Arabidopsis thaliana: one gene and its partner. The protein of the gene in region 2 interacts with the protein of the main gene of each other region in a pairwise test. Each region holds a gene or a part of one and is shown on either strand. Other genes may lie near its edges.

Region 1 (3,759 bases), about 12 Mb from region 2:
AAAGTACAATATTGGAATATGTTTTTACTGCATATACACGCAATGTATTTACCTAAATTCTAATTCAATTGTACCTTGTAATTAGATGGTTAAGACATAAGAAATCAGATACATCTGCCCGAATTAGAGCCTTATGATGATTGGCGGTGCCACATAAAAATTGAACACAAGATAGTGATGCATATGAATGTTTATATTTTAGCCGAATATGAACACAATGTTCGCAACAATTGGTTCCCCATTCTTTATATCATATGCATGTGCCGTGCGTGTTTGTACATATATGAGTAGTTTCTGTATAGTTGAAAAACTGAATAAATTAATGAAGGAGCAATGCATGAAAGAGACATAAGAAGATAAATGATAGGGAAAAAATATGTATATATAAACCTAAAAAGAGGGCCATAGGAATTTATAGAACCAAAGTGCAATGCACTTCGGATCGTCGGTCGACTCATCTCCTTCATTGTCTCCATCCATTTTCCCATTCCCCACTACATTTTTATAGTTATCTCTTCAATGTTTAAAATAATATGTCAAAACAACTCTTTATCAAAACTAAATTTTCGTTACTTCTGGTAGTAAGGATATTTCTAAACGTTATCACATTAGTTATTAATCAAACCTGTGAAAGACATGCTAGGTTACTGAAGAATGATATTAGATACTTGTGTACACTCTATTCTACAACGATCGAAGCTAGTCCCACTTCTGTGTCTCTTTCTTTTTCTGTAAGTGTGATTGCAAAATGCGAAATATTCATGTAAGCACAAGAAACAAGATAGTTATACATTCGCATCACTTTGTATTAATAAATTGTTGAGCCAATTTTGTTCTCTATTTCCTTGTTTTGGTCATGTTGAAATTCAACTCTATGATTGATTACACATTCCGGAGAATATTATTTTATTTTCTTTGAACAAGAAAACATAAAAAAAAAAAAAAACTCAACGGGATACTAAATGATCCAACTCACAAATTTCAACAAAATTAAGAAAAAAAATCGGAAAACCTTTTTAGGAGATGGCAGAAGAATTTAATTAACAAAAGGGAGAGAGGCTTATTGAAAAAAATAAAATTAGTAACCTTGCATTTATTTAATTTCCCCTTCATTACTTGTTTAAATTAATAAAACTATAGACTATGATCTATAATGAGTTTATTGCAAATAAGGCATTTGTCTTAGATATATATTTTATTTTAGGCACTTTTGAAATGATCTTTAGATTTAGGCACTTCTTTCCTGGGGAAAGTCGTTTTTACCCTTACAGAGAGATGATGTTGTTCTTTCTTTGTTGATGAACTTTTACGTTTTACACTAGAAATCAAAAATACTTGCGACCAACACCAACAACTTTGGAGTCATTGATTACAGAGTGATGTCAGCGACGATTGGAAATTCAGACGACTAACAATCGGTCCTCATGAGATGTGAATGCGATCTAGATTTTTAACATCCCACATTTTGAGATCTGGAAAAAAAAAACAAGAAACAAAAAAGTCCCACGATTTAGTATTACGATTTGCACGTTTTTTTGTTCAGTGATTTTTGTGCAGGTTAAGGAATTCAAGAAGTGATTGATACTTTGTTGATTGCTCAATTGATGTTCATAATCATGTCTACAAGTACATTGATTTTTGTTCATGTTAATGGTGTTTGATGATAATGAGGATGGTTGTAGTGTTGTGTTATTGTGTGTATGTAAGAATTGCATACTCTATATTTGACGGTTTGGGTTTACAAGTCTAATTCTAGGGTATAGCGTTTACCATTGACGCCGTTCGTTACCCCTCGTTGTCAAAGCCGTGAACCACCACCAAATCTTTGTGCTATCGTCAAAGCTTCATGCCTACCGTCGAAGCTGCAAGTCCACTATCTAAGCCATATATCTTTGGATGTCAAAAGAAACTTAAAATTGAATCAGAGATGGGGATACAATTTTTAGAAGATAAACACATTCTTTTCACCTCATTCTCAACTCCAGTTCATAGTTTAAGGGCAAAAATGTCCGTAACAATAAAAATTGAAGTATTATATGCTTTTACTGTTTAGAGTGTCTGTTTTGAAAGAAATGTTTTCAAAATGCTTGTTTAGAATATAAGCTCGATCTATAATATATGCGTTTTTAAAAAAAGACTAGTATATGCATTATGTAATTCATGGTTAATTAATCCTCTGGTAAGTAAATTAAATAGCACATGCATGTTCAAAGAAAAATGTAGACAAATATATTAAAGTGGATAAATAAATAGAAAAAAAGGGAGTGGTCAGGTCAGTCTCGGTGCATGCTAACTCTATGCACGTTCTCATCTTCGTCTCTTTCCTCACTTACACTAATTCTCTCTCTCTATATTAAACCTCTGAACCAGTGACCACATACATACTCAGTAAGCGAGTCCGAGTCAACAATGGACGTCTACGGCATGTCTTCACCGGACTTGCTTCGTATCGACGACCTTCTCGATTTCTCCAACGACGAAATCTTCTCTTCCTCTTCCACCGTCACTTCCTCCGCCGCTTCCTCCGCCGCTTCTTCCGAAAACCCTTTCAGCTTTCCTTCTTCCACCTACACTTCTCCTACTCTCCTCACCGACTTCACTCACGATCTCTGCGTTCCCGTACGTTTTCAAATTTCAATTTACCCTAATTTTGATTTTGATTTTGAATTTCTAAGTTCTGATTTTGAGTTTTGCAGAGTGACGACGCAGCTCATCTCGAATGGTTATCGCGATTCGTTGACGATTCATTCTCCGATTTCCCAGCAAATCCTTTAACCATGACCGTTAGACCCGAGATTTCATTCACCGGAAAACCTAGAAGTCGCCGATCAAGAGCACCAGCACCTTCCGTAGCTGGAACTTGGGCTCCGATGTCTGAATCAGAGCTTTGTCACTCCGTCGCTAAACCTAAACCGAAGAAAGTCTACAACGCTGAATCGGTTACGGCGGATGGAGCGAGGCGGTGCACGCACTGTGCCTCGGAGAAAACGCCACAGTGGAGAACTGGACCGCTTGGACCTAAAACACTTTGTAACGCTTGTGGAGTTCGTTACAAATCAGGGAGGCTTGTACCGGAATACAGACCGGCGTCGAGTCCGACGTTTGTATTGACTCAGCATTCGAACTCTCATCGGAAAGTTATGGAGCTCCGGCGACAGAAGGAACAACAAGAATCTTGCGTTCGAATTCCGCCGTTTCAGCCGCAGTAAATTTGGGGGTTTTCTTTTCAAGGGTTTTTGTGATTTGGTGACGTGTCGTAATCTTAACGGTGATGATCACGTGACCGACGGGAGGGGTTAAGGACTTAATTATCAGTATTAGTTTAAAGTTTGCAAATCTCTGCTAATTAATTTGTTGGTAATTTCTATTGATTTTTTTCTTGCTTTTGTTTATTGGTCTCACGGCTCTCCTTAAAGTTATATCATTAAATGATTTCATTGGCGGCATTTAATTTTCCTCTTTTCAGATATAAAAGCTTCTCAACCACCATGGACTCTGCTTTTTGTGACTTATGATGTTATATCACACATGACAATGCTGGTTAATCTTCATACATACATCATACATGTTACATGCTTGAGAATTTGAGTTTTTGGCATTTCACGAGGCAATTCAGTTTACTACTTTCTTAAAAAATAGTAACCTAAGCCATACCAAACCTAACTCTCTCTGGTTTAGGCTATTCAAATCTAACAATTTTTCGCTTTATTCCATCTGAACCAAAAATTACCAATACTCTTATACAAAGTGCTTAAACCT
Region 2 (3,759 bases):
TACGACAAACAATTACAATTTCTTTTTCGATTACAAAATTGGAACCACTATTCATATATTTAACACTAGGTTTTTAAGTTTCATCGAAGCTTCAGGCAGATCACTAAAGTGAGTCTAACCTTAGTAAATAAGGTTTTATAAGCTTGCCCACACGTAGACAGTAGACTCAATGTGGGATAAAACCGAATATGAAACTGTAGTAAGAAAAAAAACTTTTGTAAAGTTACGTCATGTTTTTTAAACCCAATACTATTGTATCACCACACGTATTTATTCACATTTTTCCGTTAACACTAAAAATCTTTTATTTTTGAAAGCGTAGCCAACCAATATTAGATAAAATTACTGCATAACTCGTTTAGTGTATTAGTAGATTTTTTTTAGTGTCTTTAAAAACACGAGTTCAAGTTTAGATAATAGAGAACATTTTGATAGAGTATTTATACTAGAATTTTCACACATATGAAAACGAATATAATTTTGGAAATTTTAAATTTTCTCTTTTCAAAAACAAATTAACAGAAGATGTTAGTTTGTAATATGTTGGTAATTGTGATTTTCAAAGTTTTAAATTCTGGAATTTTCAATTACAATTTTCTACTTGGTGTACATAAAGCTTGTAGTAAATTTGTTAATTCGGAAGTTAATGGATTTTTTGTAACAAGAAAATAAAAATGATTAGTACTTGAGAGTTGACATTAGCCAGTAGGGAAGTGCATATAACGCGCTTAAGAGGGAAGTAATTAAGAAAAGAGTCGTTTCCACTTAATTAAATCGTAGCCACAAATAATGGGGTTTCTTAAAAATGGCTTAAGTGTACTTAAACTTTTGTATGATACGCCAAATTATGTGCCCTTTCAAATATGGAAACTATTTAGTTATGCTTTAACGAGTAGGTTTTCAATCACTCATAACCCTTGCTATAAAATCTAAAATATATCATTTTTATTTTATTTTGCAAATATGAAAATCTAATGGTCTTATTAGCTCCATAGATCATTCACCTCCTCAAAGATAACATAGTTATTATTATTTTTTAAAGTTACTTATCAAATAAAAGTGCACCAATTCAGATGTTTGGTATACGGGTCCGGTACCATGGACTTGGCCCTTGGGTCTACCCATATTCGACTCGTACCCAAACGTTTATTTTGTTCTTTTCAATTGAACTAACAAACTAAGCATCTTAAGTATAAAAAAATCGTTAATTGTAATGTAAAAGCCAAAAACCAACAGACAAATATTGATTTTTGCGTTTGTGCTTAACATAATTATTTAATGAAAAAATTATATGTTTTAATTTTATAACTCAAAACCTATTTCTTAAACTGATGTTGAATTGTCGAAAAACTAAATTAATAATGTTGGCAGATATATATGGTCACGTCAAAGTCTATCTAATCAGGACTTTTGTTTTTAATCTTGATAAACGCATGTTATCGCATTAAAAATGAAAAGAGATGGGATGTGGCAACAAAAGCAAGTATTTGCTACTTGAAGTGTGAAGGACCATACATTTGATTAATTTTGGATGTGTTTTTGGTTAGGAATTAGTCACTTTTCACTTTAAGATAATGGATTTCGAATTTGGTTGGGATTAGAGTGAGATAACTTTTTAGAGTGTCAAGATCGTCGCGTCTCCATCTTAATTTGTACTTTCTTTGTCATGTTCTTAATTTGTTTACTAATAGAGTATAATAAGTTCAGTTACCTACAATTAATTAAGTTAATTTGGCGTCATTATTTATTACTATAAAGTAGTAAACTAATGTACTTTTATCGATTTCTTTATGAGACATGCCCTACTACAAAAGCATATAAAGATCATTGAGTTGTTGAAGTACATAGCAAATTTATTCTACCAATTTAATTACCATCCAATCTTTTTTTCGTCAACTATGACTTGAATATATGGACAATATGGTTGACTAAAGAAACGACAAGGAGTCTCATGCCGAAAACTTAGTACGTCGAGGCTTGTGTGTGGTAACGATGGAAGAAATAGATTGAGAAAAAAAAGTGAAACGGCAAGCAGTCTGTTTATGAAGTCTTTGGATCTCTTAAACCGGGCTTTGTCCAAAATTAGAATGGAAAAAAAAAAAGAAGGATCCCTTAAACCGGTAAGCAACCCGATTAAATTCAATATGTGTACAGAAACTTAATTTGATTTTTTTATAAAATTTAAATCAAGACTAATATGGAGACTTACAAAAGTTAATTATATGAATTGTATGTTACAGATTGAGTGCGAAAGGATGTTCCACGTTCAATCCACTAGCGAAACAAAAAAATCATTTATTTAACTGATTGTCTTCGTAAGTTTACTTAGTAATATCATGTTGAAACATTAAATCTGATATATGTGCCACTATGTAAATCATTTAGTTAACTTATAATTGAAACAAGAAATGTTATGTGTGCCACTATGTAACTTTTATTAGTACATATATAAAGGAAATAGCGTTTAATAAATCGACTGCTAATCTAAAACTAACAAGATAATTAATTATGATCACTAAGCTTCATTCTAACAAATCAGTTTATAGAGGACAAGAAAGCTTATAATTACTCCACCTTCTTTTGTCTTTTTGTTTGTGAAAGAGAAATATCTGATGGTAAAAAAGCCCAAGAAGACCTCCTCTCTACACCTTTAAAGTTTATGCAAATTTAGAAACAAACAAAACGGACCACTATAGCTAATTATCTTATATAGATAAGATATGTAGAAGGAGGGATATACATATGTATAATAACAATCTTGATATATAACTTCCATCATCCATGGTTAAGATTGTAACACCATGAGTTGGTGCGAGGATAATTCATATATACAAACCAAAAATCACGCGTATGTATGTTATTGCATGCATGTCTTGCATCATCCATGCATGAATGCATCAAAGAGTCTCCAGTCTTTAATATACATATCTACATGGATGGATGAAAGTCATGAAACCATGTTATTAAAACCCTTTTTCAAAACAAATAATAATGAAACCATGTTGTTATAATTGGTTAGGTTTGAAGAGATATACATAGATAGTCCCCATGCATGTGTTATTAGTAGTGTTTAGGATGAAAATAACCCCTAATACATAAATTAATTTTATGATTAATTAACACTCTAAGATTAAGGTAAAACATAATTAATTAAGACTTTAGATTAATTAAGGGTTAGTAATCACGCGGTGAATTTAGTCTCTATAAAAGCAGTACCTCACCTTCCACAACCTTCAATATCAACTCACCCACATCTTTCTCTCTTATTCTCTCACTCTTTTTTTTTTATATTCCTCTCTCTCTAAATCTATAAAATATATTTAAAAACTTGATCGTATATAATAAAGTAAATAAAGAATAATAACAAAAAAAATGGAGAAAAGAGGAGGAGGAAGTAGTGGAGGTTCGGGATCATCAGCAGAAGCAGAAGTGAGAAAAGGACCATGGACGATGGAAGAAGATCTTATTCTTATCAACTATATCGCCAACCACGGCGATGGTGTTTGGAATTCTCTCGCCAAATCTGCAGGTTCGTTTAATTTCTTCTTAAAATCAAATTCAATTATTTATAGTTATATACATATATGGTGTATGAACTAGGGTTTCGTCATAACATGCAAAGGTATATATCCTATACGACAAAAGCAGACTTTTTTTTTGTTAAGGTAAAATACTTTTTCTTACGTACGTTCATTTCTTTTATATATAAATCTATCTACACAGATATTAATTATATTTTCATAACTAGATTTTTTTTTT

What was found.
Region 1: the proteins of MYB21 (region 2) and GATA4 interact in a two-hybrid assay, tested with the Arabidopsis thaliana proteins (one large-scale study listed by BioGRID).

What each region holds. Positions count from the first base shown.
Region 1 is NC_003074.8:22,370,939-22,374,697, forward strand, and holds GATA4 (GATA transcription factor 4), read left to right. Parts: upstream 1-2,074; 5' UTR 2,075-2,409; coding exon 2,410-2,619; intron 2,620-2,696; coding exon 2,697-3,209; 3' UTR 3,210-3,616; downstream 3,617-3,759. UniProt on the Arabidopsis thaliana protein: Transcriptional activator that specifically binds 5'-GATA-3' or 5'-GAT-3' motifs within gene promoters. May be involved in the regulation of some light-responsive genes.
Region 2 is NC_003074.8:10,304,224-10,307,982, forward strand, and holds the start of MYB21 (myb domain protein 21), read left to right. Parts: upstream 1-1,625; 5' UTR 1,626-3,372; coding exon 3,373-3,529; intron 3,530-3,759. Other genes in the region: AT3G27809 (uncharacterized protein), read right to left, coding at 3,477-3,523.